2 linked regions of the Lonchura striata genome follow. The protein of the gene in region 2 purifies or fractionates together with the protein of the main gene of each other region. This does not show direct contact. Links are inferred from orthologs where the notes say so. Each region holds a gene or a part of one and is shown on either strand. Other genes may lie near its edges.

Region 1 (15,592 bases), about 570 kb from region 2:
ACATAAATTGTGTTATCTAAGTTATTAGTCTATTAATGTTATAAGGGAGGGTTTTTTTTATTCTTAGGAAGAAAAGAAATCATTAAAAACTTGTTCAGTTGGTTGGATAAACTTAAAAATGCAATTCCTCATCTCTGAAATGGTCTGAGTCCATGTCATGTAGGAAGTCCCATTCCCAGTGCACATCGCTTCGATGATCCAAGCCCATGATGGACTGACATGCACAGAGTGCCCACGGACAGACAGACACTGGGAGGCAACTGGAGTTAATCATGCTTCCAATAGCCACCTTCATCTAGGCAACCAGAAATCAGAACAGCATGATGCAAATTAAATACCTACAGCCTGCTATGGGCTCTTGAGAAAATACCACAGAGTCCTTGGAAAGATGAGTAGTATTGTTTAAAAAAAAGAAAGAAAGAAAAAAAGAAAGAGCATAACTACTTTACCAACTCTGTGTCTCGCACCTTTTAATTTGACAATAAATGCTAAGCCTCACCTTGGTATCCTTTTCCAGCTGGCTGTGACAATCTCTGCACAAGTCATAGTCCAGAGGCTCCCCAACCCTGCTGGAGGGGGCTGCATTCTCCCTTCTGCTGTGCTACAGCCAGAGCACCAATCTAGTCTGCATCAGAATGGCAGTACACGTGCTCAAAACTATTCCCCAATGCAATAACAGAAAGGATAAGAGCATATCTACAAATACATTTTCACCATGATGTCAAAGTAGCATTATTCCATTTTAGAAACCAGAACAAAGAGAGACTGAATGACTGTCTGAAGTCCCCTAGTAGAACCAGTAGTAAATCCATAACTGAATCTGTGCTTCTGACTGATAATAAATAGAAAATCAGAGGTATGTATACTCTAGATACAGGCTACTGTTTGCTTTTCCAGGGCATCAACATCTTTAACATTTCTGCCAGGTATATATATAAAATGGGCACAAATAATCAGAGTAAATGGATTAATTATAAGCTAAAATTCTGAGCTGTGATTTATGGGCATTGGGAATGTAGCACAAAAAGTTCTCTGACAGTTACACTCTGGGGACAGTAATCTGTAGCAGAAGAGTAGAGTAAACGGCAGAGGGGTTATCTCTTAAATCAGACAGTGTCAATACTGAAAAGACTTTTTGTTAGTTGCATCTAGCTGAGCTGAAGGAAATACTTTTTTTTTCCAGTGATCAATCTATATTGAATCCCTTGTGCAGTAAGCAGCCATGGAAAGGTTTTGTGGAATTAGTATTATAAATCACACATTCAATCCCTTTGTGGGTGTTGAAAGCATTGTCATTCTTCTAATCACTATATCCTATCTTTGATCCATAACAAATATGCACACCCAGCTCTACTAATCTCCATTATGATTGTATGATATCTGTATTTGCCAGTGCCATGCCAGCAGAAATAGTTAACATTTTTTTCTTCCTCCTAGGATTTTGGGCTTTGTCTTTTATTTTCTCCTCTCCCCATTTAAGAACATTGGTATTTCCTAATATAATATAATGTAATTAGGAATAGATACAAATAAAAAAGTTGAAAACCAGGTGAAGCTCTATTATTATAAACAGTATTTATAATGAGAAGATCAATACAATGAGACAATCACTTGGTCATTTTGAGTGATAATGATTCACAAATTTATTTTTAGTATGACATGACGGTAGTGTTTCCAAGTACATGTTATTTTATTATATAAGAAATTACATTAGCTACTTCTGGAAGTCCATCAAACATGGCTGTTATTATATGCACAAGGTCAGAGAGACATTCCTGTATTTGAATAAGGCTGTAAGCAATAAACAGACATTACAGCTAAACACCTGACAAAGTCTTTTCTGGGACTGGGCCTTTGCTTGCTTTAGTTTTAAACTTTGATTATATTTGATCATATCAAAGATATATCTCTACCCTCCATTGTCTTTCAATTAATATAGCAGGTTTCCAATTGGCCATTCCAGTCCAGCTCTTGTGTTCTCTTAGGACAACAGCTTGATAGTGAATACATAGGTGCAGTTATATATGTTTATATTTATAGATCTCAGGTTTCACATAGCTGAAGACTCAGCTTTGGTGGACATAACAGTCTCACTTAATCATAAGAAAAAACTTCATATCACAGCAACAAAAAGAAATGCCCCTCAAAGGGCAAGGAGAGTTGTCTGCAGAGGCTGAAGTTCCAGCAGCCTCTAAGGATAATACCAGAAAAGTTTTAAAGGATTGCTAGGAATGGATGGATTTTGGAGCAAATATTCATAGATCCTGAAAAGGGGAAAATTGTTCAATGGGTAATGGCAAAGCCAACTGATGATCCATGAAATTGTTTGGATGCAAGAGAGGAGTTTTCTCTTTAGGAGGAACTGAAGGAAAGTTTAGGTGTTAGATTCCCTCAATCATCCCACATTAACACATAAAAAGGAGTAAACCTGAAACTACATGCATGGCAGAAACACTTAGGCAGCTGTCTTATTGGCTAGAACCCTTTCTAGGGAGGAGGAATTATTTAAATCTGATTCTTACCTTGTCTCACCTGTAGCTGCACAGAAAACTGAACCCAAGTGATGGAAGCCATGTGGTGACCTAAATAATCTTCATAATGTCAGTCTCTTTAAACTACTCAGCAGTTTTCAAATTCACCCTTGAAGTACTTGAAGCAGCAGCAGAAGTTTAGACCAACTGCTGGAATTATGAAATACTTCAAAATACTGAACAGCTTCTTCCCGTGGGAAGTCCTAACATTTTACTAAATCCAGACCTTCCTCTACTTTCCCATAGTCACTGGTTGACTATACTGTTTTATGGATCTCATGCCTTTAGGATGTTACCACTTGATACTCACATTCTCACATTTCAGAGTAAAACTACAGACTGTGTTAGGATCTCTGGTCATCCTTTTCCAGGGCAAGCATCATTTTTGCTATACATAGGTTAGTTATGTCCTGTAATGGAGTAAATGACCAGTGTTTGTATATCTGTGAAAATGCTGCTACACATCCCACAATTGCTCATTGTCCTTGTTAATACAGGACAAGAAAATGAGCTCAAGAAAATTCAGCTTGAATTAATTTATGCTCTAGGAACTGCAAGCTGGATAACACTGTGGAACTGCTCCCTGAGGAGGAGTTTAAATAGGCCAGCCTTTATTTTGAACATTTAATTCTTCAGAGCTGTCAGACAAGAAAGCCATCTAGAATGGATACCGGTCTCTCCCAGTGTTTTTCTGCAGAACTACTGCAGAGACAGAGACAGTGAAATAAATAGTTTTTGCAGGTAAAGTAGAAGATGGCAAACAATTTGAAAATATGTTGATATGCAGTGAAAGAAAGTAGCATTCCTTCACTCTCCATCACTCAAAATTAAAGGTATCAAACCAAGTCTACTTTCTGCATAGGAAAGTCAGTTTACAAAGGAACTGGAGTAGTATATGAAGATGAATATTACAAAGAGGTGATCAGCTCTGAATCTATAGTCCGATACATAGATATTGTTTTTTATCAGTAAAGCCGATATTCTCAAAGATAACTCATGCAGGTTTTGGAGAAAGAAGGCTATCAGAGCATGGAAATGCCTTTGATTCCAGAAGCAGATACTGTTGGAGCAAGGGAAGCAGATTTCGGTCCATTAAATTACTGGGGCAACTTTAACAAATAAATAATTCTAGAATTCATGCATAGGTGCATCTCCTATCAAGTGTTGTTTTTTGTACCAGTTTATTTAGTTTAACAGCACTCACTGCCTTAGTTTGCTTTCTTTGCTTCCTGCAAAAATCCATATATATCCTGAAACACCATTTTTGGAACCTGGGTGAGATTCTGCAAAGTGGGTGCCATCTAAGTACTTGTGTTTATCTGTGCATAATCATATTCCCATCTCTTCTGATAATGTGTCTTCCATGCCATAGTACTGTGGCTGCTTTAAAACAAGACACCCTTTATAACAAAATAAACCAAGCAAGATTTTCAAAAATATATCAAATAATTGAACAAGAATAGACACACTGATTGAAATACACAACAGAAGCATTTACATTTATGTTTCAGTATATCATAACATAAGTAAAACAAACTATAAGTGAAATAAAAACCTACATGGCTGATCTTGAATCAAAATTTAATTATCAACCGAATTTATTCTTGTAAAATTAAAGTAAAACACACTTGGTCAATCACATGCTGAAGTGCGGGCATTCTGCCAGCTGGAGTTCTGGAAAGGGCATACATACATCTAACCATATTAGCAAAAATAAACTGGTTGTTTATGATAGGTAATGATTTACCTAGTTACGAACTCTTTATTACACTATAGAAAAAACCTGAAAGAACACAAAACAGAAGCTCCCTTATTCTCTGTAACCATCTGATATCAACATCCATAATTTTTCATTTCATTATTTGTTCCTCTTTCTCCTTTAATTGGTCAGATACATGAGTATTTTCAGATGGTGGAATATTATTTGTTATGTTGTTCAAGTCTTATGATATCAGTTCTGCAGAATGCCTAGAAAATGAAATGCAATGTATTGCACTGAATATAAAAAAATAAAATAAAATAAAATAAAATAATAAAATAAAATAAAAAATAAAATAAAATGAAATAAAATGAAATGAAATGAAATAAAATAAAATAAAATAAAATAAAATAAAATAAAAAAAAATATAAAATAAAATAAAATAAAATAAAATAAAATAAAATAAAAATAATCCTGCAGCGGAATATCACTGTTGTAATGAGCAATGTCTGCAGGGCCTGACAGAGCGGCCATGGAAGGAGCACGGCCCTGAGACTGACCCGTGCGAGCCCGCGGGCCCGGCGCCCCGGGAGCGGCCCGAGGGCGCGGCCGCGGCAGGACCGGGCCTCGGAGGGGCCGCGCTCCCGCAGCCCCCGGGGCACTGCCCGGCCCCGCCGCCTCTGCGCCCGGCGGCGGCGAGGGCGCTGGAAACCCGCGGCAGAGGGCCCGGCAGCGGGCAGGCACCCCGCCAAGAGGGGTGAGACCCCCAGCCCTCCCTGCCGTGGATGGTGCGGCGGAGAGGGCGCGTCTAGTTCGCCCCGGAGAACCAGACCACGGCTCCTGGGGAGGAAGAGGTGCTGTAGGAAAAGGGGGTGCCCTACCTTGGGCCGGTCGCAGGAAGGAGGCCACTTGATGGTCACAGTCGAAGACTGGAAGAGTACTCTCACTTAGCAAAAGCTCAGAAGCAAATGATGACCCCGTGCAGTGCCCTCTCTGCCTGGGCCCTGCTCCCCAGGAGAGGAGGGTGAGAAGCCGCCTTTCTCGCCCGTGGCTCCGGCCGTGTCTGAGGGGACCCCCATGGGCTCTCCTACATGAGAACGGGAGCACAGAACCGGGGCGGCTGTGCCTGTGTGAGGGGCGGAGGGAGGGAAAACAACTCCGATCCGGCTCCTTCTCTGTGGGCTCCCCGCGGAAGGAGAGGCGCTACCGGCAGTCACCTACCCCCGCTCCCGGAGCACCCACGATCCCTCCCCGTCCGAAGCTCCGGACATGGGCACGTTCCCAGACGGTTACTGTTTGCCCGCTTGAATGTGGGAGGATTTCGGGCTGGAAATGGAAATAGACGGGAAGAAAGAGTTCCCATCGTGGGGAGAAGGTGGGGGAGGTGACGGGGTCCCACGATGTTTTCGGCGACCCGCTGCACAGGCTTGGGCCAGTCTGGAAAGCCGGGTATGAGGGACCCTGCGCAGGAAACAGATACGCGCAAACGAAAAGAAGGATGTACAGTATAGGGCAGGGAACGAATACCGATGCGGAGATAACCTCACAGCTCCTTCCCGAGCTAAACGTCTGGCCCGCGCAAGCACTGCCGAGAGAATCTCTTCCAAAAGACGATGGTATTTTGGATAAAATAAAGCCCCTGCAAGTCAAACCGAAGGACCGGCAGATGCTGCTGCTGCCAGGGGAAACAGACCAGAACGAACTGAAACAGCGCTCCACGTTAAAATTAAAGCTCCCGCCGCTTGCATCGGCCGCCCGGCCCACGCGTGAGAGAGAACCTGCGGGCGGCGCTCCCGGGCGGCGATGGGCGACCGGCGCCAAGGAGCTCCGGTCCCCGTGGGCAGCGCCGTGCCGGGGCCAGCTCTGCTCCTCGAGCAGCTGCGGGAAGCTCCTTCCCAGGGGCGAGGCCACTCGGCCCGGCCAGGAGGCGACGAGATTCCCAAAACCCAGACACTTGCTGAGTGGCCTTTGTGGGGCCCACCTTTTCCTGACGGCGCTGGAAACACGGTCTCCCCTGAAAGTCCTGCCCCCGCTCCACATACATATTTCCATAATTTTTAGGTCAGGTTTTATGTTTGCACCCTTGGTGCAAACAGAGCAAGCACACCGGTGGAGCCAAGACCCTGATCCCATCTAGCTGGGTAAAGCAGAGCTCACCTCAGCCTGCAGTTTCTCCAGTTTGCACTAAAAGCTCGCCCTGAAAAAAAATAAGAATCAAAGAAAGAAAAAAGATGAAACAAACAAACAAAAAGTGTACAGAAACTGGTGCTACTCGAAACAGAGCTGGGGAAAGGTACTGTGTAATTGGGACCAGCGCTACTAACCTGACTCCTGAAAAACGCATCATCTAGGCGCGACTGGAGAGCTCCTGGCTACTAACACAGCGTCCCGCATCCTAGGAGAGTGCTTCTGTGCTGACCCTGGTGCAAAGGATACTGATAAATCCTGCTGGACTCGCAGAGCATCCTACATAGGGCTTCACTACATAAAGGCTCAAATGCAGGGCAAGGGCAACTACCGAAATACCCGCTTTTTCCTGTGGCCGTGGGCAGAGGCATCCTAACCCTCTTCTGGACTTAAGGGAGGATTTTCTCCACCAGGGCTGCACCACAGCAACCGGGCTGAAGAGAATTTCCAGCAGCGGCTGGCTCTGACTAGGGCTTGCTTATTGTACGTCAGGTCGAGAGGCTCTAAGCAGATTAAGAGAAGATCCTGCCTGTGCTCTCACCTCTGGGAGCAACCTCAGGAGGGAGCTGAGCCCGCAGCCGGACAACAGGAGGCGCTGAGGCTTTGCACAACCCCCGGCTCTCCTCCCCTCCCGGGCAGCGGGCATCCCAGCCGGGGCGGCCTGGGGGCGGCCGGCCCGCAGGGCGGCTTTGCCGGCTCCACGTTTGCTCCGCCCGATGAAACGCCTCCATGGTTTGTAGCAGCATCCGATGAGCGTGGCCGGCTTTGTGCCTGGCCTTTTTTCCAGGTACAGGGTGACCCAGCGTGGGCTGCCCGGCGTCCCGTCGGGTGTTGCTCCCGCGGGGCTGGGCTCTGGAAAGCGAGGCAGCACCGCCCCGAGGTCACCCAGCGGGGGGGTGCCGGCAGCGGGGTCTCGGGGGCAGCCACACTCCTGCCAGCATGTCCGCATGCGGCTGTGCTGCCAGGGGGGAACCATACTCCACAGATCTCAAATACTGAATTGGGCAAGCCACCACCGAAGGGTCCCTGTTTTCAGACATATACACCGCTTCCATTAGGAAAAGAGTGGGGGTGCCTACATGAAGACTGCAATCTTAATATTTCTTAGGTATTCTATTGAGGTTTGTCCCAATTTCCATGGGTGTAGCTTGACCACTTGAGAAAACAGGGGTCTAATTCACTGCTTTTATATATTTTATTTCCTTCAAGACATATTTTCATATGCTGCTCTCCTCTGCTGATTCCAGAGTTTTGTTTCGAGGATTTGACTTAATTCTGTTGCCAGATTAAAAAAAAAAAAAAATTATGAGGAGAGAAAGAACAAAGAAAGGGGTAAGAGAAAATGCATTTAGAGAACAAGTTAAAACGTATTTGTCGTGGCAGAGATATGCTCTATCTCTGCTCTATCTCGCCATTTGAATCCAGTGTCTCTATAAGAAACTTTGAAATCCTGTTTCTGGGGCTATTTCCACAGACCACTCGAGAACAAATCACTGTGGAAGCAACTGTGGCCATGCTGAATGATAAACATGTCAAGCTGAAATTCAGACCCAGGTGTATATTATAGTTTGTGTGGTATGATGTGCAAGTTTTTTTCAAAATCCCAAGAAGCTTTATTTCCCCTTCAAATTTCCACTGTTGGAAAAGTTGTTTGGGTTTGGGGGGGTAGGGTTATTAGCTGCTGGTTGGTGATGTAGAATTTTTTTTTGTTTGTTTTGACTTTTTGGTTTTTGTTTTCTACTATGAGATGATAAAAGTTCTAGTAGCTACGTGAGAACGAACTCACAAGGGATAGGATAGAGAAACCTAAGAGAAGTCCGTGGTGTTGACATAGGCTCGAAGAGCCGGACAGGACAGAAAATGTTTGATCCCTCTGCAAAGACTGAGAAATTCCTCCCATAATAATAAAAAGCTTTTTCCAATGTCAGTTTGTTTTATCGGTGTTTTTTGCCTTTTACCAGCCTGTGTAGAATCCTCCTCCCCGGTTCGTTGTGAGAAATCAGGTCAGTAAGCAAGAAGTTGGAAATGAGATATACCCGCTACCTATTATTGCTGCTCCTGGACGTCTGGCATCAAAGAAAGCTTCCAAATGAGCCTTCTGGGCTGAAGGCTTTCCACAGTAAGGATATAAAATGGTTCTAGTGACTCACCTGATGTTTGCCAAGTGGAGGTTAATATCAGTGGATCCGCATTCAGGCCTCTGTCCGTATTTATTGGGAACCTGTAGTATTATGTCCTCAGCACGGTGACTCACATAGTTTCTGAACATAAGGCACCCGAAAAAGCAATATCATTATCACCATTTACATAGGACGGCACCCCGTTTGAAGGGCTGTTTTAGTCCGGAGGAGGAGGGTGGTGGGATGGGGGGAGGGTTGGGACGGCTTTGGGGGGCGCGGAGCCGAGCCTCCTGCTCACAGCCCGGAGCGCCTAATCCGATCCCCTGCCCCGAGGGCGATGGGAACGTGGGGCGCTGCGGCAGGGCCTGGAGGTACCTACGCGATAACCAGCTGTGAATGGACGAGCGGGAGAGGGGGGAACCTGTGGACTTCAGGACTCGGGACTTTGAAGCACGTCTCGGCCATCAAGTTAAAGGAGCATCTACCGGCCTTTAGTAAATATTGCCTCTAATCTCAGGGGTTTAAGGCTGGATGGCCTTTTGCATTCTCTTCAAATAGAGGGGGCTGCCCTTCCTTCATCTGCCTCATTTCATTTCCCCCTATCCCTCCTAGCATATGTCCTGTCCACCTGAAAGGGTGGTCGTGCCCGTCCCCCGTCCCATCCCGTTCCGCCCCCCGCCCCCCTCTGTCCCCCTCTCCCACCTCTGTCTCTCCTTCTTTCCCCACAAGCTTAAACCAATTACGCAGCTTTGCAAATAAAGTGCTGCCCCGGGGGGAGTTGCAGGCGAGGGGGACTGCCTTGTTTGCAGGTGCATCTCCGGCTTTGTAGGTGCGAACGCCTTTGTGCGGCGGACAAATGGGGAGAGGAGGAGGAGGAGGTGGGTACTTCTGCGACGTAAGATCCACATCAGCTCAACTCCACTCACATCCCAGCCGCACTTCCTCACTTTCTCAACTGTCTCGCCCCACACCGCTCCCTGCCTCCTTTTTGGCTGGTTATAGAGCAGAATTCAGCACCCCTCGCCCTTCCTGAGAGCTGGTTTCCTGCTAGGTCGGGCTTTCGGGCTCTTTTCCTACTGCCCGTCGCTCGCTTGCAAGAAGGCTGGATGGTTACACCGGGCAGGTTGGCTCCATAATGTTAGGGACTGTGAAAATGGAAGGGCATGAAACCAGCGACTGGAACAGCTACTACGCCGACACTCAGGAGGTGAGTAAATCCCAGGGTCTGGCTTCTCTGCTGCCCCTGTGCAGGGGAGGGGAGGACCTGGGGGTGGCTAGGGGTCTGGAGGGGGCAGCAATCGGAGGGATCGGTTTGCAGTACAGATCCTGCCAACGCAAACGTACCTCCCCCTCCCTCCGGCGCCGAAACTGGCTAGGCTTCCCCAAGGAAAACACAGCTTCCAGGAGCCCTGGAGGCGTTTGGGGAAGACACGGGGCGGCTGCGAGCCCGCCAGGAGGGCCGGGGGGCCGGGGGCAGCCCTTGATCTCATCTAAGAGGCGTAATATTCTCTCGCGGCGGGCACAAAAGCACCCCGAAAACTCTTGGCTCGGGGCAGAGAGCTCGCCGCGCCGGCGGCACCCGACTCCTTCCCGGCAGATGGCAGGGGCCGAGGGAGACAGACGCCAGCGCGTTCTGGTCGGGGGCAGCGGCTTCCCCCAGCTCCTCGGCGGGACCTCCGGCCTCTCTGCTCGCCAGCGCCGGGCCCTCACCTGTTAAAGCGGGGGAAAGGAAAGGAGGGGGAAGACCGGCAGTTTGTCCGCACTTTGCGGACGGGCTGCCCGCGGCGTGCGCTGCTGCCGCGGGCCGGCTGGCGGCGCTGCCGAGAGCCGGGCCGGGGGGGGCCCGCACCCGGACCCGCCGCCCCCCACCCGGACCCGGTCCGGACCGCCGCAGGCGCTTCCGCCCCCCGCGCCCCTTTGGCAGCGACGTCCGTAAGGCGGAGGAGAGCCGGCCCAAGCGCCCACAGCTGCGGCGGAGGAGAGGGCCGCGGCAGAGCCCGGAGCGCACCCCCGGCGCGCCTCGGCCCTGTGGGGCCTGGGGTCCGCGCTGTGCCGCTGAGGCTCCGCAGCGGGGGTCCCGGAGAAGCCAGCGCTCGGCAGCACGGCCAGCAGCACTGCGGATTCCCGCCCTGGAAGGAGCCGTTTTGAGGAAGTGAGGCAGCGAGGCAGGCACCTGGGTGTGCGCACCCGGGCATTGCATCAGCATACCCGGACACACGGCTCCACAGTCCCCACGCCTCGTCCCGCACCCGGAGCTGGCACACGCGCCCATAGGGCCACGCGGACAGAGGCCGATACGTGTCACCCGGCTGGCATCTCCTTTAATAAAGGAAAGTCGGCTAAGGGCAAACAAGGGTCATCCTAATTACGTGCCATTTCCAGACTCATTTTTCCTCGCTTATACGCATTGTCCACAAACATAAAGTTAAGGGAACTTCGCTTTTGCGATTTTTTTAAACTTCCATCTTTCCTCACCTCTTGCCATTTAATTTGAATAACTGCATGAATGCAACAGGGAAACCCAGCTGCGTTCTACCATCTCAAATATTTAATGTGATCCTCTAAATCAAAAGTGCGTTTATAAGTTCGTGAAATTTATTGGGATCAGAAATGAATTTTAAATATTTAACCGTTGCTTAAACCTCTTTTTCTTAGCCATATTAGCCGTATTAGTTCGAGTAAACTGGGAACGTCTTTCTCTCTCCTGTTAAATCAGATACCGTAGTGGAAAGCACAAATTCAAGCTCTCCGGCTCTGCCCTTTTTAAGAGTTATGTGTTTGGGTGCTTCAATTTTTTCCACGTCGTGCAATTGTAGAAAATCTCAGAGAGGAGAAGTTCAGGTTTTTCCTACTTTGGAAAAGTTTTGGTGTTTGATTGGTTAGTTGATTTTTTTTTTTTAACTTTAATTTAAAGACTATTTTGATAGAAAATGTAGGCAGGGGGAAGCTTTCCACAAATAAAACAGACCAAAAAGACCTGTTCCGTTTGGGTGAGGGTTTTTAAAATTATTTTGCAACAAGACATTATTCCATCTTGTATGTTTTTTAGGAAAGAAATTTAAATTATTGCAGGAAGGGAGACATGCGTGAGATTTTTCTCAGCAAATACAAGCAAACAATGTACATCCGCCAATTTCAATACTCTGATGAGTTTAAGTATTTAACTAGAGAGACAGGGCACATAAACAACAAAACACGGGAATGCGCTGGACACGTCCTGCCGGGGCAGTCTGAGCCCGCAGCCCGGCTCCGCGAGGGCTTGGAGCGGTTCAGGGAAGACGCTCGGTCCGTGCGCCGCTGAACCCGGCGCAGCCCGCGCAAGCTGCGACACGCCGGTAAACCGGGAGTGCGTCCGGAGAGAGCACCCCCGCTCCGTGTTCGTTTATAAATTTAAATAGATATGAAATAGACCTTTTCATGGAAGCAGCTGCCTTTCCGTGCTGCTTTGAGGAAGCGTTTTCCCCTGTGTCGGGGAAGCGGCCGGCGTCCCGCGGCAGGACGTTTGCACGGCTGGCTGGGCCGGGCGGGCGGATCCGGCCCCTACGGGGTCCTGCCACACCTCTCTCCTCTCTAACTCCGTCTCTTTGTCTCGCTGCCCTAGGCCTATTCCTCGGTGCCCGTGAGCAACATGAACTCGGGGCTGGGCTCCATGAACACCATGAACACCTACATGACCATGAACACCATGACGACAAGCGGCAACATGACCTCCAGCTCCTTCAACATGTCCTACGCCAACACGGGGCTGGGGGCTGGGCTGAGTCCCGGCGCCGTGGCTGGCATGCCGGCAGGCTCGGCGGGGCCCGTGAACGGCATGCCGGCCGGCGTAGCCGCCATGGGCACGGCGCTGAGCCCCGGTGGCATCAACGCCATGTCTGCCCAGCCGGCCCCCATGAACGGGCTGAGCCCCTACGGCAGCATGAACCCCTGCATGAGCCCCATGGCCTACACCCAGTCCAACCTCGGCAGGACACGGGACGCTAAGTCCTTCAAGCGGACTTACCCCCACGCCAAGCCGCCCTACTCCTACATCTCCCTCATCACCATGGCCATCCAGCAGGCACCCAGCAAGATGCTGACGCTGAGTGAGATCTACCAGTGGATCATGGACCTTTTCCCCTACTACCGACAGAACCAGCAGCGCTGGCAGAACAGCATCCGCCACTCGCTCTCTTTCAATGACTGTTTTGTCAAGGTGGCCCGGTCCCCCGACAAGCCCGGCAAGGGCTCCTATTGGACCCTGCACCCCGACTCCGGCAATATGTTTGAAAACGGCTGTTACCTCCGCCGGCAAAAGCGCTTCAAGTGTGAGAAGCCGGCTAACAGTAAAGCCACTCAGGAGGGCAGGAAAGATCAGGCTGGGGCCTCTAATTCAAGCTCCAACTCCCCCCTGCACAGAGGCCACAACAAACCTGCGCAGCTGGATACGGCCACCTCTCTCTCCAGCTCCAACCCGTCCACCAGCCCTCAGTCTATGGACCACAGTGGATCAAGCACGGAGCTAAAGACCTCGGCCTCGGCCGCCTCCTCCACCATCAGCTCTGTACCAACCTTGGCCTCCGTCCCACACCCCCCTCACTCATTAGCCCATGAACCCCAGCTCCACCTCAAGGGTGATCCCCACTACTCCTTCAACCACCCGTTTTCCATCAACAACCTCATGTCCTCCTCGGAGCAGCAGCACAAGCTGGACTTCAAAGCCTACGAGCAGGCGCTGCAATATTCCTCCTACGGGGCCAGCATCCCCGGCGGGCTGCCCCTTGGCAGCGCCTCCATGGCTGGCCGGAGCAGCATCGAGCCCTCGGCCCTAGAGCCCTCCTACTACCAAGGTGTGTATTCCAGACCCGTGCTAAACACCTCCTAGCTGTGCAACCCCCGCCGCCGGGGCCGAGACCCCTCCTCCCCTTCCTGGCTTCTCTCCCGCTTTCCCTGAGACAGACCAAGGTGTTTCCGCACGCTGCGTGCAAAGGACTGTTACTTTTTAATTGTCTCGCAACGCGTTGTCTGTTGTTATGATCCACCACGACCTCCTGCAAAGCCGGCCGTGTCCCGCTTGTACATATTCCCTCCGGCTGCCCAGCCCCTCTCCCCGGAGACCTCCCCAGCCTATGCAGGGTGTTATTAAAAAGAAGAAAAAAAATGTTGAGCGTGTAAACTACTTGTTTGTGCTTTCTGCCCCCTCGTCTCCCTCCCTATGTGTTCTATAATCTCATGTAAGTTTACAGGTATGTGGCAATACTTTAACAATACGGAGATGAAGAAGCGAGTAGACATTTAAGACTTTTTTTTAATTAAGAAGGCTTTGAAGGACAATACTGCTGTGAAGTAGCAAAACACTAAGAGAATCTCTAAGCAACAAGAGAACTATTTACTTTCTCGGATCATCCTTTTGATACTTGCAAAATAAACCTTCGGCTACTACAACCCACATAAAACCCAGATGCTGCGGGCCGGATCCTGCACTCCCGAGGGGACCAACTGGAGCTTTGGAGTGCAGGATGCGACCCTTATCTTTTTCCAAGTGTTACCTGTTTTGGGATGTAATATAAAGTTACAAGAGGTCACAACCAGTTGGATTTTTTTCCTCTTCCCATCTGTTACTGAAGATTCTAGTTCATCAGGAACTCTCATCAACATGTGGATGACATACTTATTTAAGTGTATTCATTGTATACCAGCTAGAACTGTGTATCTATAACCAGGTTATTTTCCCCCTCCTCTAGGAAACATTGACTACTACACTGATGCAAGGAAAAGAGGACAGCTCTGTCTCTCCCCCCTTTTCAAACTTGTCTAATATTTTTTTTTTTTTGTGGCCGTTTAATTATCGCCATCGTTAGCTTATATCATCCAGTGTTATTGCACTTTCCACAGTTTTACACGGTGTTAGCATAGCCAGACGGGTTTTATTATTATTCCTGTTCGCTGTTTCAATGTTCTTAATTTATTGCATGGTTTATATTGTTTTCTTTCTTTACAGCTGGAAATTGCTTTAAATGACCGTAAAAAATAATTACACGTGAATTTAAGAAATTTTGTTAATTTTATAAATGTGATTGTAATTGAAAAAAATATTTTGATTTAAAACGATAACTGAGAATTTAATGCGTGAAGTATGTTTTTGATCATTTGCAGTTAAGGACTTTAAATAAATCAAATGTTATCAATGAAATACTTCTGCTATTTTCTTACAAAATTTCTGGGACGGGTTACGGAGGACGGAGCCCTGTGCAAGAAAATCAAAACGTCGTGGTTAAGTGTGGATGTGAAGAGGAAAGATTTATTCGGCCAGGCTTGTGCAGAGGGAAGGCGGGGGACGCTCCCGCAGGGTATGCTTGTGGGGCGCTGCGATGCCACCGGCCTGTGAAGCTGAGTGTGTGGTAATGTCTTTTATTTTATTTTTTTTCCCCCTCCCTAATTCACGGTTCTGGGATATGGTGAGGGATGGCAGGAAAAAGCCTCCCGAGGCGATGTAACCTCCTGGGTGTTTTGCGGCCAGGGCTGCAGGGGCGGCGGCAGCCAGGCTCGGCGTTTCCCCGCCGAATGGGACGACGCCCACGGGGAGCATCCCCAGGGCGGCTCCACGCCGCTCTCGGCCGCTGGAAAGGCCCAGATCCCGCTTTGTAGTTCTGGCTCGGAACCATCCGTCGGAACGACACCAGCAGCCGCGCTGCAGAGCTCTGTTCCCCAGCAATAGACTTTGTCGGGGGAGGGGAGTTTAATTGTGAACGGATTTCGCTGTGCCGAGCCCCGTTCGTGCGCGGCCGCCAGATGAAAGAACTGTGTAATTCTCGTAATTATCACATAATTGCCCCCTGACGGGTTAGGGACAGCGGCGACAAACTAATTTAAGGTTCGACTTAGAAAAGAAAAACCAAGCCAGCATCCTAGAAATCTCACCACATCCCTCCAACACTACTACCCAGCTAAAAACGGGAGGGAAAAAAAGTCTTGGGAGAGGCTCTCTGCTTTGCAAAAGTGGCCGGATCAGCGGTGATCCCGGTCGGAGATGCGCGCACGGCTCTCCCGGTGACACGGAGCTGTCTCCCTCGTCG
Region 2 (15,333 bases):
TCCTTATAGCACAAATACGCTTGATCGAGAACTCCGGTGAAATCCACCAGAGCAAATGGAAGTGACGATCTCATACTTTGTTCAGTTTCCTAAGCAATGCATCCATCCTTTAATTTAAAAAGGAAAAAACAGAAAAACACCCAAAAGAAAGCCCCGAAAAAAAACCGCAATCACAAACCGAAACAAAAAAGTCCCTTTTCCTCCCCAAAACCCCGCAAACCAACCCACCTCGTGAACACGCACTTAATTCTTTTCCTTTACTCCTTACACTTTAAGGAGCCCCTGTATTGATGAAGCGCTGCTCAGAATGATATGGGGAGTTCTCATTGAATCAATTCAATAAGTCATGTACGTTCACTAAAACCTGCCATGTCAATTCACTTGCTGAAGAAGTACAACCTACAAAGTAATTTAAAATTACTCCAAAAGTCTTGCTGTGTTTAGTGAATAGGAATATTTTTGAGAAAAAGTTATAATCTTATTCAGATATAGTTGTTAGCATGAGATGTGGAGCCAGTCAGTCAAAACACACTAAAGTATCTTGGAAAATATTTTTAGAATATACGTTTTCAACCTTATTCCGTTTCTATATGCCAGCTCAGGACAATAGATATACACCGTCTTTCGAAAGTGATGCATTCGGCTATTTGCAAATGTTTTTCCTTCTCAATCTGTGTCATGGTAAAAAAAAAAAAAACCAAACAAAAAACCCAAAACAAAAACAAAAACAAAAACCATTTCCTCTTCGCCCTCCCTCTAACAAAAGCCTTTACATCGAAGATTAAATGTCATATTTTACATTTTCATTTATAGGTTTCCCAAGAATTTTTCTGTGTCATAAGTTGTTTTAAGCTTCAAAACGAATTTCAGTTCTTTTTACATCAATACATCTTATACACCATCTAATTTATAACGATGACCAGAAGCCTTTGAGAGAAAGACATAGGATATAGAAAACTTTGACCTTACCTGCTCCCTAATGTGCTTGCAGCCAGAAAAGAGTGGAGGAAAGGGGGGGGGGGGGGGGGGGGAAGAAAAGTAATTTCATATTATTCACCATTTTGCCAGGGACAGTCGTCTCTCTACCTCATAGGAGCAGCCGCACTGGGTCAGATGTCTGTACACATTTGATACATATAAACAGTATTTTCATTAACTTAGAGTTTTGAGGGGCTACCCCCCCGCGCCCCCCCCCCGATGGGGATCATGAGAGGAACAGCGGGTCAGACAGAAAAAAAAAATTCTCAGCTTTGCTCCCGACATGGCTATGAAAGGACTTAAATTCTTCAGAAGTCACTCAGTCTTTAACTCTAGATCCCCTTTGTAAAGGCTAAAGGCAGCGGTCACGAAAAGTTGAACAGGGGCTGCCTTCCCGGCGAGGACCCTTTACCTGCGCTGCGCTACAAAACTCCTAAAATACTTTTTTCCCCTCCCCTCCCAGCCGTAGCAACTTCTCTTGGTGTCATCTCAGGGCTGTCTCAGATTACATTGTTTGGGATCTGCACTTTCAACACCGTCTTAAGGCCCTGCACTGCCTTTTGAACCGAGATGCGGGCAATGTACTTTTGGATCAGCTCGTCGTCCCTTGCCGCTCCGTAGGTACAGTGACCCCGCAGCGCGCCCGTCCGCCGCTACCCGCACCACAGCAGAGCCCGGGGCAAGCCCTGCCGCCCCCGGCTCCCCTGAGCCCTTCCTCCCAAGCATCCCTTTTGCTAACAGACTGCAGTGAAACAAATAAAAAACTCAGTAACCCACAGCCCGTTTTGATATGGAGCAGCCCATATGAAAAAGACTTCTGCTATTGTTGCTGTTGCGGCCGTAGTAGCGATATGGTTTTGTTAGGGTTTGGGATTTTGTTTTGTTGTTGTTTTATTTGGGGTTTGTGTTTCGTTTGGGGTTTCGTTTGGGGTTGTTTTTGTTGTTTTTACTGCTGTTTTTTCTTTCTTTTTCTTTTTCTTTTTTTTTTTTTTTTTTCTCCCACAGCCTACTGTGCCACTTCACGCACACTTCATGGAACTTAAGAATGAATTCCTATTTACAGCAGGAAAAAATGCCCTCCGTGATTCTCCTACACTTACTAGCAGTGCCAGGCAGTGGGGGAGTGGGAGGGAATAGCCATTCTTCACTAGATCCTTTTATCTCTCAAAATACGGGGTGCCCATGGTCTAGCGTGGATAAAGCAGTTATATTGGGAAGCGTGAATCTCTTCCATCATTTCAGATTTGAATCATGTTGCCCCTCCCCTTTGCCATCCCATTATCCAAGTTCTGCATTGATTACCGGGAGACTGGAAACCAGCATATTGGAAGAAGCAGGAGTTTAGACGGAGGAACATATTTTAATTTCAATTTTAAAAAGCTATACAGTAACTGTGTTCTCACGAGTATTCTCAAGGGAGACTGGAGACTAAACCGTTTTTACACCCCTCCCTTCAAATATCTTCGTCCTAATCAAGGCATAACTAGTTTACTGAAAAAAATATATGATAAAAGGCAGTATCACAATGTCATAAAAAAACTCTATAAAATTGTTAAAGAGCAGTTTGTTTGCATTTCTCCTGATTGATATGTAAATACAGTTTGAACTGTGTTTGCTCGGTCTCTAGTGCTTAATAAAGAGATGAATTCACCTTTCTGTGGAACAAGTAAACAGACTTTAAACTAAGCCGACATCAGACAAAGTGGAAACGAGTTTATTTAATCGAAACTAAATCTAGTTTAAGAAAGATAAGTCAGTGTACATAATAATCCATTACAGTAATTACACCCACCACCAAATATGTGTTTATGAGGTTGTCGAGACACAATAAAATTACTTTATTTTCCCCGAAGTCTATAATGAAAAGTCACTGACTGGATCTCTATCAAACATGCTAACTCCAATATTCGGGGGCGGGGGCTGTAATATTTTTCGGCTGTATTAATGCCTTTCGGTGCTCCTCACTTTTGAACATTCCTAGGTTTGAAAGAACGCACATTAATTACGTATGAAGGGGAAATGTATACACTTTTCCCTCGTTCTTGCGTATAAACTCCGGGAGAAACTAACCCTAATTTTGAAAACTTCCTTAAAGTTAACCCTGCCCTCGCTTCCTCCGCGGAAGCTGGCAGTTCTGCACCACGGTCCAGGAGTCCCCAGCACTTTCTTCTTTTAGCAGAAATAACAGCACTAAGCTCCAGACACTGCCGCTCCCCCCACCCATCCCCCCGCCATGCTTAACACGATGCTATAGATCTGAAATGAATATTCTGAGCAGAAGAAGGACAAAAAAATTTTGAATAATCTTTGGGTTAGTTAAGAATATCGCTGTATAAATCAGGACATAACCTAAAGAATGAAAGGTCTCGAAATTCCTGTTGACACACGTGATGTCCTCCAGTTAGAAATAAGGGGGAGGGGGTCGGAAAGAATCCGATACATTTTTTTTTTTCTTCCGTGTACTTCCCTTTTTCTCCATCCAGACTAGCACTTGGTGTCCGACTAACATCGGCTATCTTGTATAAATAAAGAACCGGAGCTTTCAAAAGCTACTACTTAAATTGGAATTTGGGTTGTTTCCATCCCAGGCAACCTGTTTTCTTTCACTTCAAAAATATTATTATTTCGTAACCCCTCTGTAATTCAGAGTTGTTTCAATGACTGCGGTCGCTTTCTATGGAATTAGGATAAAAAACGAAACCGAGCAGCAGATGCAAAGGAAAACACGCTACGAGGTCTTTTAGAAGAAGAATACTTCTTAATTTGCTACACTCGCAAAAGGGATATTTGGGACCTGAAAATAGAGAATTACGGGGATTTCGGACTCGTCAGACACGAGCTGTTTGGCTTCATATGCTTTATATATTTACAGGAAAGTTACCGTCTAACCGCCTCGCATTGCCGATAGTTTTTACCTTCTGTGTCTAAGCCCGGCGCGCACCTATGCGGACCCACCCACGTGCGCGCACACACTTTCTCCTCATCTCCTTCTTTACAACTTGTCAAATAGCTCCGCAAAATAACCCCCCAACAAACAAACAAGCAAACTAACAATCCCCCCTTAGAAAAACAACGCGACGCGAAAAAGAGCACCCAATACCAACCAACCGCAGCCCGTCTGTGTTCCGCCGAGCCGCAGCCTGCGGCTGACCTCCGCCTGAGAAGTGGGGTGCCCGTGAGCGGCCGTGTGGGGTTGGATATGTAGAAAATTAAATATATGGAAATGTAGAAAATGAAACACAGCCTGATAAAGAAAGTTAATTCAAACTACATGTTGTACACAATAAACTATCTTTTTATTTTGATTATAAATAAGGTGACTGTACTTCCCTTAAAATACAAGTACATAGGAAAACCTGGTAGAAATTATCTTTCTTTTTTTTTTTTTTTTCTTACAAGGTATTAAAACTGGACACTTTAAATCGGACTCACGTTCTATACTGACAGCAGGTTCTTCGCTATTTTATTTTTTTTTCTAATGGCGTTAGACTTTTACCTTCTTTCTCCTCCGTGCCTTTGGCATTTGAATTTCTAGTCCCGGAATACTTTTCTTTCTCTAGCAAGAAATCGCTGAGGTGCCCCCCGCCCTCATCCCCCAAAAAATAATCGGGCTAATGAATTTGGACTTGATTCCTTCGGTTTCGAGTTCGTGAATCCCAAACGTTTGCTTGTCCTCTTTGCACGCTGAGGACTGATCCTGTAACCCGTTAACCCTTTGGCACAGCTCTCCTTTGGGAATAGGGTCTGGGCCCTGGGAGGGGCATGGGCCTTCCGGGGTCTGACAACATCCCGGGGTGTTTTTCCACCAAGAATAAAAAAAAGAGGGGGGCGGAGGGGGGAAAAGGGGGGGAAAAAAAGGAGGAAGATGTAAGGAAAGGAGCGTCGGGAGGGGAAACCAAAGGGGGAAATAAAAAAGAATATTCGTAATGTGTATAATTTATTAGAAGCTTCTTAGGAACTATATTTAAGCCAAATATCTACATAAGTTACAACAGGAAAAGGCGGCGTGCGCAAATAACAAACTGCCGGAGGATTTACGACGGGGTGATCAGTGTCCATAAAAAAGGTGGGGGGTTGTTTGGTTGATTGTATTTTTTTCCTTTTCTTTTTACAACAAAATATACAGGCTACTAAAAACTATGGGTTTAGTCCAACTTTTGACAGCATTATACAGCTACAGGTTCACATCAAACGTAAGGAGGAAAATAAAAGCCAAGCCTTTGATGACTCCACGTCTCCATCCGCTGGCCCTGGTGGCGGGCTGGGAGAGACCGGGGAGGGGGAAGCTGCTTCTTGTGTCTGGGTGACGCGAATGCGTATTTTTGGGGGGAAAACCACCCCATCCCCCAAAATCTCTGTATTTACATGCAAGTCCTAGACGCTGGCAAAGTGTACATCTGATATCCAAGTCTTCAAACCATGCCTTAAGATGGTCCCCTTTCTGCAGACTGCTCCATGGTTATTAGTCTGAATATTTTTATACACCCCACAGGACAAATCTGGGGGACAAAAAACATAAAGACCCAAAACCATCAACAGTAACAATAAAATGGAACAAAAAAAGTGTCTCTCTCTCTCTCTCTCTTAGAGGTCCGCAGAGACCACTCAGTAAAACGGGGGAAAGGGAGAACATTAAAAAAAAAAAAAAAAAAAAAAAAAAAAAAAAAAAAAAAAAGCACACAGTAGTTTGGAGAGGACAGAGATTTGTGTAACTGGGAAAATTTGTTGGTTTTCTTTTTCTTTTTTCTTTTTGCCTTTTTTTCCCCTTTTTATTTGTTTAATCCTTTTACCAGGTCCTACCGTATAGTAAGGTGGAGCAAGACATGGCAGTGCCATAGTCAGAAGTAGAAGAGTTTAGGTGAGACAAACTGGAGACTTGGCTCTGCAGAGAGGAAGGGCTGGCCGAGTGCTGTCCCATGTCTGGAGACTGCCCCGCACTGTTTGTCTGGTGGCTCTGATGCTGTCCGAGGCTGTTGCCATTGGTAGCCACTGTGATCGTTGTAGCTGCCTGCTGCTGATGGCTCTGGATAGCTGCTGTGGGTGTGTTGGAGCCTGCTTGGCAGGGCTTGCCATCCTTCACAAGCACTGGCACTGCCACCCTTCTGGGAGACTGCTGCTGCTGGCAGGAGCCGTTCTCCTGTTGCATCTGCTGCTGCGCAGCCTTGTCTTTGGCCTGGCGCTTCATCTTGTAGCGGTGATTCTGGAACCAGATTTTGACCTGAGTCGGGGTGAGATGTATCATGCTGGCTAAATGTTCCCTCTCCGGGGCGGAGAGGTATTTCTGTTGCTTGAAACGTCTCTCCAGCTCGTAAACCTGGGCCTGCGAAAAAAGGACCCTCCGTTTCCTCCGCGGCGTGCTCTGGAGCGGGGCCATGCTCTTGCTCACGTCTCCCAGGGAGCCGAGGCTGCCCATGCCTCCCATGTTCATGCCCGAGGACGGCGCCATGAAGCGGGAGACTGCAAGGGAGAAGGCGGCACGTTTTAGGCGGCTCGGCTTGGCCCGGCCCGGCCCGAGTGGGGCCCCGCGCTCCGGCAGCCCCCGCCGCCGCCTGCCCCAGCGGAGCTCCGCAGCCCCCCGGCAGCCCAGCCCCGGCCGCGGCCTCGGGGCACCCGCGCTTCCAAACAACGACTCCTCACGTCCCCGGGGCGAGCGGCGGCCCCCTTCTCGCACGGCCCAGCCCCGGTGAATAAGGGCGACCACTCACCCCTCGTCCTGCCCGGGGGCACAGCCGGGAAAGTACCTAATGTGACAGCCGCGGCGGCAGCGGCCGCGGACAGCGGCTCCGCCGGCGCCGGCCGAAGAGGACTCTGCCGCTCCCCTGCCGCTTCCCGGGACGCGGCCCCGGCGCCTCCGGCTTCCCCCCTCGCCCCCCCATGTGCCGGGCGGCGCGCAGGCGGACGGGCACCGCCGGCTCCCTTTGGGCCCCCGGGCCGCCAGGCTCCCGCCCCGCTGGACGGCGAGAGCCAGGCTCCCGCTCCCCGCCACAGCCGCCCTTCCAACCCCCTTGCCCCGTAAAAGCAGCCGCGGGAGGCTGACATGCAACCAGCCGTGGTGGAAAGACCGGGTACGATCCTAGGCAGGAGGGGGAATTTGGGGTTTGGGGGGCGCGGCTGGGTTTGAGACCGACTTTTGCCCTGTCGCGGACCCCCAGTGCCTTCTGACCGCGGCGTGTCGGGGCAGTTGCGCGGCAAGCCCCCTTCGGCCACCCAGCCCCGAGCTGACTTACTTGAGGAAAAGCGGGGATCCGGGTTGGTGCCGTACCATCCTGTCGCCGAAGCGCTGTTCCTCATGGTGTCCTGGTAAGGCGGCAGCTCGCTCATGTTGCCCAGGTTCCCATTGCAATAGCCCCCCATCGTAGCATGGGAGAGCTGGGGGACCCCTGCCGCTGTCATATGGTAGGCGGCAGTCACTGTTCCGTTGTGGCCCATGGGGTGCTGCTGCATGGCCGGCTGAGAAACCTGAGACTGTCTGTAGGCTGACAGGGGAGCCCCCAAGTTACTGGCCTCCATGCCCACTTTCTTGTAGCTTTCCTCCAAAGGACTCAAGATGTCAGACACTGAGAAAGGAGTCGTATGCTTTGGGCTCATCGACATGATTCGGCGGCTGGGGAAAAAAAAAAAAAAAAAGGAAGGGGAGGCAAATTTTTTTTTTTTTTTTTTTTTTTTTTTTTTGCCAGATATTCTGGTGTTGCCTTAACGCCGATCTTGTTGGATGTACACGTAACCGAGTGGACGAAGTCCGCCTTAATTGGATTGAGTGGAGGCTCAGGGCTGCCTTTCGTTTGTTTTAGCCAGACGCCAGGTTTTAGGCTGCCACCAGAGGCGGGGCATAGGCACTAAAGCAACAAGACAATAGAAGCCTACATCTTGCCCAAGATAATTAGCTTACATGCTGATGACAAGGTAAACACCTTTAAGTCTTACTTGTCAGAATTTTTTTATGTCTTTAGGAAAAAAAAAAAAAAAGAGACAGAGAGGACGGGAGAGAGAGGGAAAAAAAAAAAAAGACCCCGTGAGCACAACTCTTTTTTTTTTTTTTTTTTTTTTTTTTCCTCGGGGGTTACAATATCGTGGACGGGAAATGGAAGGCAAAGCAAAAAAGACCACCATTTGACTGGGTGAAAGGATTTAAAAACAGCTCCCGGGTGGCAAGGCTGTCAGACCAGCCTTTGTGAGAGCTGGGGAAACGGGGTGGAATGCCAGTAAGCCAGAGGACAGAATCTCCCTCTTCCCCCAGTAAGTTTGGTCCGGAAGGAGTCCTGCCGCCGGGAGGACAATTCTTCTGAGGGCAGATCTTTCTCTCGGGGCCACAGCTCCCCGCGCCCCGCATTCCCCGCACTGGCTTGTCAGATGTCCCGGCCGGCTGGGGCTGAACAAGCGCTTGGGGTTTCGCATCTCGGGAACACTCTCTATGTCTCCTAAGACACTCCGTGCAAGGATCGTTTGTCTCCCTAAACCCACAAATTCCTTTCAGCTAGGGATTTTTCTTTTTTTAATATCTCAGAGAGGGGTGGAAGCCACAAGTTTGCAAAATCAAGCAGTAATTTAATTGCCTGGGACGAGAGGCCGATGAAAAATAGGTTAGCGCAAAATGTCGCTTGTTATTCTCAAAGGCAAAGACTCACAGTCTTTCGTGGTCCCTCTGAAGCTGAAGCTGCTTTCTAAGGTTATTTATACAGCACGGCAGCTGGATGGAGAAGACCTCTCCGGTCATCTGCTACACGACCTTGCCAATGAATTCCCTGTAGTTTCTAATAAACTGCAATTTCTGGCACTTTCGGATCGTTCTCGGATCCGGTGTGAAAACAAAAGCGATCCATTCACAGCCACACGCACACGTACAGGCAGCCAGTAGCTAATGTCACTCGGGTCTTTGAAGAAATCTTCCAGCGTCTGGTGTCTCCAAAGCTTATATTTCGGGGTGATCCTAGCGGAGAGAGAAACCTCCCCCGAGTGTTTCACACCCCGGCCTACGGCCCTGGCAACCACAATTTAATACAGCGATTACCTGAATATTAAGAAAATTACAGCGAAGGTACAGTTAACCCTGGGACTTTGAAGTGTCAAGTAACTATTTAGTAATTGCACTTGTAAATATGTTTGTGCTCGGCTAGTTCGTGCTTAAAAATGCAAAAGTGCACTTGCTACCCGGGAATAACTAAATATCTTTGTCTAAAGTGGCAGCATAAATAGCCGGTCGCTTTGTGGCTGTGCTTGATATTAGTACATAAGGATCATTTTGCTTCAATTGGGAGGCTCTCATTCACTAGGCAAGAAACCGTTTAGGAGAAAGTAGGTTCCCGTATGAGAGTTAACATCCTTCAAGTGTAAGCCTCAGTCTTGATTACACTTTAGAGCTCTGCAAGAGGTGAGCTTTTCCACACAAATATAATCGGGGGAACTTTCCTTCAATCAGGCCTCCAGCTCTCTTACATCATCTCAGCTGCTTCTTTCGGCACTAGCTCCCTCAAGGCTGAATATCCCGAAGTGGGCTGGTTGTGAGTCTGCTGGGTCACCAAAGGCAGAGAAGGGCGATTTTGGGCTAGAAAGGCGATTGGTTTTTACCTCTTATTTTTCTTCTTTTCTTTTAAAACCTTTAAATCTTTCCTTTACAGATCTCTGGAACATTTCTTTACAACCCCCCCACCTCCCCGCACCCTCCTCCCTCGCCCCGGATTTTCCCTTTTCTGCGCATATTTTTGAGTATGGTCTTTGGTTTTGTTCCTACACAGAGAGAGAGACTCGACCTTGCCTTAGTGATTTGCTTGCTTGGGGTTTGCGGTTGTTTTTTTTCACCCCGAATTTCTCAGACACTCCATCCCCATGCCTCTTTCATGAACCTTTAAAAGAAGGGGATGGGTGGAAGCAAAAAAAACTTAAATACTGCAGGATCCACCAAAACGACGGCTTGGTCGGTTTTAATCAGAGGCGAAAGGCGGCAAGTGACCGCGCAACGTGTGGGGCAGGAGCAGACACCCCGTTCCCATCCACAAGAGAGCGAGGTGGGGCAGGCGGGCAGGCCCCAGCAGCAGCTCCGGCGGCGGCGGCGCGGAGCGGGGCTCGGGCCCCGCGGGCGGGCCAGGCTCCCCGCCGCCTGCCCCGGCCCGGAGCGCCGCCCGAGCGACCCTTTGGCCGCCGGCTGCGCCTGCCAGAGCTTATTTATCCTCTCACTCGAGTGAGCGCGGGTTAAATCGCCTCCGAAACATTGCTTGCTTAGGTTATCCCGAGCGAGTCGGGCCTTGGCTCTGCGCGCGGTCTGCTAGAGGGAAGCTAATGCGAGAGAGCTCCGTTCACCTTTGCTGGGAAGCGGGTGGAACTCTCTTGTGCACGCCTGACCGCTGAGTTAGGAGTACACCGGCGCGCGTACAGGCACAGCCACGTCCAGCTACTTTTTAGCCCGGCTAGATCGACGCGGTGTAAAGAGGTCAGCCTCTGCACCTGCTTTCCTGCCCCAAATGAGCTATAACAGGGCAAGTCAGACCATGGACAAGGGGCGAGAAAACTTCGCTGGTGTCGTCTCCCTTCAGTCTCTCTTTTCTTTCAAGGCCTCCACCGAAGTTTTGTCTACCAGAGATGGCTGCTCCCAGCTTCCAGGGAGGGTGGCCGTCCCGACGGAGTCCTGCCTAAGCTGCCTTTAAAGAAATGTTCGTTTACCTGGTGATGCTGCTTAGTAAAACACTCGAGTTAAAAAGAAATGCTAAGGAGGAGAGCAAGGAAGATGAGATGCGTTCTGCCTGGTGGAAGCATTTTCATGAGAAAGGCACGGTTTTCACCCCGTGTTTGCAGAAATGCGGCTACACGGACGTCCCTTCAATAGCTTCTGACCCCACACAATCCTTTTGATAACACTCGAGAGGTGGAAGAATGGGAGACTTTGTCAATCAAATGGTGCCAATCCCAATGGAAACGGTGCCACCAAGACCGCAGAGCGTTTCCTCATCAACTGGATTGCGGGGGCTGGGAACTCAAGAATCAGCTTTTGAAAGTGCGCACAGGGCTCTCCAAAGACAACAATGTCTTTTTTATACGAGCTGCTGTGCCTCCCCAAGGGGAATCAGATATGTTCGGCCAGGCAGAGCTCGGAGGGCTCGGAGGGCAGAGGGTAAGGGTCCCACGCAAACCGCACGCAAATTCTTTCTCAACAAGAAAGACGCTTTCTAGGTGTAACTTTTTGATACAAAGCCATGAGGTGCTCCGTGCTCCCTCTGGATCAGTTCACGGGTGCACGTCTAGCTGCACCCCCTGCCCAGCCCTGCCGCCCCAGCGCCCAGCGCCGAAAGGCGGCCCTGCCCGCGGCCGTACAGCCCGTCCTGCCGCGGGAGCAGCGCTCTGCGGCGGGGCCAGCCGCTCCTAGAGAGGTCCGAGTTGGAGGTGGCAAGAGTAGATCTGTGAGAGCTTTCTTCGCGTCTGGTCATCAGTATATATCAGTATATGTATATATTTACATCGAGAGATGTAAATGACCGCCTGGAAAAATGGCACCACCGAGGCAGCTTGCCGCAACTCGCCCCTCTCGACCCACTCTGAACGAGCTCATACACCCTCTGTTTCCCCACGCTCCCCAGAATGGAAGATGTGCCCAGCACACCTACGCCGGGAGCGGAGGTTTCCGTAGTGATAGTGTAGGGAGGACTTGTGTCTCTGCCGGCCGCGGGCAGGGCGCTGGGAGCCGCTCCCGCCTGGAAAGCACATGCTTGGGCGTGTAAGAAGGCAGGAGTCCTCCCAGAGACGCACCCTGCGAGCCCTACCTAGGCACGGAGCGCACTGGGTGTGTGTGTGGGGGGGGAAACGCCTTTTGTGGCTCATGGGGACAATTCCTCTCTGTGGGAAAGCCCCCCTGCCCTGGTTTTCTCGTTAGGGTGGGAGAAACCCCTCGGTATAGCGGGCGAAACCTCTCCCCCTGGCGTGGGAACCTAAGGCAACCAGCGAGACCACCAAAGGCTAAAACGAAAATCCTCACCCCTCCGCAGAGCACGCACAGTTGCTCCTCCAGCTACCCAGGGCGTGGAGCATCTCGCAGCTGGGGGTTCTCGGGGCCCCTTCGCCACCGGTGCCTGGCGGCCCCACTCGCAAAGCTCTGTGCGAGGGAGGGCAGCGTTGCCTCCGCTCTGCTCTTTTCCCTCTTTCCCCAGTTGCTGGAGGACGGCTGAGCCCTCCTGCCCTAGTCCTCGACACCCTCCCCGTCCTTTCCTTCGCCGGGCCGTTCCCGGCCAAGAGGGCCAGGGTGGGGCCAGGTACGGGGTGCCAGGGCAGGGCTCCCGGAGCCGCGGCGGCGGGCGGAGGGCCGCCGTGCCAGGGCGGGGGCGGCGGGGCCCCGGGGCACGCCTCGACCGGCCAGCCACACCGCGCCCCTCCGCGGCTGCACGGCGTGGGGACCCGCGGGAAAGGGCTCTTTGTAGACATGGGTGCCCCGGTAGTCTCGGGTGGATAGCAGCATCACTCGCCCCGATGTGTGAACTACTGTCTGATCGCCTCTCCCGAAATTATCAGCAGTTAATATAAGCCCTCCACATCTGGCATTCTTAGTGTCAGTAGACTGTCGCTGCCGCAACAGCGACATACAAGACTTATTGTTGCCCTGAAGCGTTTTTGATACACCCATGACAGCGGTGATTATGCAGTGGATTTCTTGAAGCTGGTTGTTGAGACAATTTGCTAAAAGTTAGCCTGTAGAGATAGTTAAAATTATAAGCACCTTTTATTTAGCTATAAAATACTTTTAATCGGTATATACCTACGAACAGAATCCCGCCGGGTTCTATCTATTTATCTGCTTTTAGGTATAACTATTAGTATATTACATTAGCTATCTTAGGAGTCATGTGCTTTTGTGTGTGTTCCCAGACATGCCTACACACACACATACAAGCGTGGGGGTGCATACCTCCGGCAGCGGGTATGCGTGAGTATATATTTACGCATACATTCACAGTCCTCAACCCTGTCGTCTCTTAAGTGTTTCAAAAAGGAACTCAGCTTTTAAGTGGGTCACCTCGCCGCCCTCCCTTCCCCTTCCCTCTCCCAGGCCTGTGGCCGCGCCGGCGCCGGGAAAGGGGCTCTCGGCTCCCGGGTGGGGTTGGACGCGGGGGAGACGGACATGGACGTGCCTGCGGGTGCAGAGTGGAGGGGCGGGCTGGGGGTCGGCCCCGGCAGTTTGATTTTCCTCAGACCTTTTTTGTTTCAGGTGGCTGGCGGCGGCGGGCGGCGCGGGGGCTCGTTGCTCACTGCCCCCCGGTTTGGTGCCGAAGCCCTCCCCGTGGCTCCGGGCCTCGGGGGGCTGCAGCCTGCCCTGTGCAGCCGCCCTCGGGGCTGCGCGGACGGCGCACGGGGCCGAGCCCGGGGCGCTCCCCGCGCCCGCCGGCAGTGTGCGCGCTGGTGGACAGGCGACCTTTCCGCCTCGACCTTACCCTGGGGGTAACCAAAGCTCTCTTTTATTTTCAATGTCACTTCGGAGTTTGCCTTTTGTTCCCCGATACCAGGGATACGGGTGGCTCCCCGCTGGCTCGGGGAAGGGCTAGCGGTTTCAAAGATACCTCATTTAAAAACGGCAATGGAGTCCTTTCGACCAGCCCGTGTGGTGCCCGAGCTTTATTTTCGTGCCGGGGAGAATGGAATTGTTTGTTTTGCTTTTGTTTTCACAGCAAAACTCGAGGGCAAGTTACAGGAGGGCTGATAGGAACCCCGGCTCTTCCTCGTTGCCCTTGGGTGCCCAGCAGAGCCACCCAGCCGAGGGCCGCCGCATCCGGTGCTCGACCACGGCAGTCCGGGATCCCGCGCAAACAGGCGCATCCGTCTGCGGATGCCCTGCTGACACTGATTTCGGAGCGACCGAGTGCTCTGATTATTGTCCCCAAATTCTTTTCTGCCTCTCCTCTACTCCCCCGTCTGCTGCTTGACCTGAGCTCCCCCGGTGCCTTTAATTCGGCAGGAAGCTGCCATCTGTCTCATTGTGCCCTTGGCTTTTTTATCTGGGCAAGGGCCACCAGGAGAAGGTGGGCGCTGCACGCGTTGCCAGCCGAGCGGCGGGACGCACCGGGGCCGGTGCGGCGGCCCGCCGGGGCGGAGGGACCTGCGGCGGCCTCCCTCCGCTGGCCGCCGGGGAAAGCGCAGCGCCGGCCCGGGCCGCCGGCGCTGGCGCTCACCTGGGCCTGTCGACTTGCTGCTATTGCTGCTGAAATTTCGCCCTAGCCAAGGCAAAATCATATCAATGAGGAAACAGAACAGGAATTTGCTCAGTTGCCCTTGGGAAGTAATTTCATGGATATTCGTCCATTTTCACTGTGCGTTTCTCCAAATCTAGGGGGAAGGATTAGCTTCTTTCCCTGTTGCTGCAGCTCCTTCTCAACAGCTTCCCACAGAGGTAGCTCTGCCTCTAAGGAAGATTCTTCCCCCTCCTGGGAAAGTGAAATTTGTCTGTTCCTGGATCAAGAGGCACTGTTTAACAGCTGTGCCTGTTCCTAAATCTTACTTTACAGCAGCACAGTCAAACAGTTTCAAATTGTGCTCTTGCTAGTTGATGGTCATATACACAAAAGATTCTCACTCAAAAACTGCCTTTTGGGAGTGACTTTGCCTCTTTCGCAGCTGCTTCCTACCTTCTGAGCTTGTAGCCCAGGAATTCATCTCATGAGGGCTGCTCTCAGTCCCTGCTCTGCAGGAGCAGCCCAATTGCTCTCCACTCTTCTCTGAGTGTGGGAACTGAAGATGCAAATGCCATCCGGGGCTGATGCCCTTGGAGGTAGAGCTGACATGAATCAATGAGCTGGCCTGATAGGGCCAGAGTGACCCAGCTGCCCACTCAGAGTGGTAGGTGGTTTGTTTATCTGTCATGTGAGCCTTAAACATCAACATTTCCCAAGTCTTAAAAAACCCAACAAGCCAACCAGACAACCAACCAACCAGACAACCAACCAACCAGACGACCAACCAAAAAAACAATCAATGCTCACTCTTCCTTGATTTTCTTCTGTTTGTTTCCTGCAAGAGAGCACACAGAAATCTCTCATAAGCAAAGAGGTCCATTTCAGAGGGACAAGGGCAAACATAGAATGTTTCAGAAGCCCGTTTTTCATTTCATGGGAACCAGTGTCTCTGGGAAGATCACGCCCTCAGTCTGGCTAGTACAACTGGTAGGTCTAGTTAAATGCTGATGTAAAAAGCTGCAGCACAAAGGATGCCATTTGTAGCTAAACTTAACAATGAACTTTATTGGTCCTGCTACCAAACCCATTAACAAAGCTCTGTACTCTGCAGCATTGTTTCTGGGGCTGGGTTTTGTTAAGCAGTTACTGATGTATATATATATGGTCCAGGGTGCTGATTTAACAGGTGCATTCCTCTTGCCAGGAAAGGATT

Evidence for each region.
Region 1: the proteins of NKX2-1 (region 2) and FOXA1 purify together in Homo sapiens (affinity purification with western blotting; 3 studies listed by BioGRID and IntAct, with this or other methods). This does not show direct contact. The link is inferred for Lonchura striata from reciprocal best matches to the Homo sapiens genes NKX2-1 and FOXA1.

What each region holds. Positions count from the first base shown.
Region 1 is NC_134608.1:24,211,863-24,227,454, forward strand, and holds FOXA1 (hepatocyte nuclear factor 3-alpha), read left to right. Parts: upstream 1-9,433; 5' UTR 9,434-9,672; coding exon 9,673-9,744; intron 9,745-12,138; coding exon 12,139-13,401; 3' UTR 13,402-14,709; downstream 14,710-15,592. UniProt on the Homo sapiens protein: Transcription factor that is involved in embryonic development, establishment of tissue-specific gene expression and regulation of gene expression in differentiated tissues.
Region 2 is NC_134608.1:24,782,923-24,798,255, reverse strand, and holds NKX2-1 (homeobox protein Nkx-2.1), read right to left. Parts: upstream 7,616-15,333; 5' UTR 7,573-7,615; coding exon 7,206-7,572; intron 6,436-7,205; coding exon 5,765-6,435; 3' UTR 5,736-5,764; downstream 1-5,735. UniProt on the Homo sapiens protein: Transcription factor that binds and activates the promoter of thyroid specific genes such as thyroglobulin, thyroperoxidase, and thyrotropin receptor. Crucial in the maintenance of the thyroid differentiation phenotype.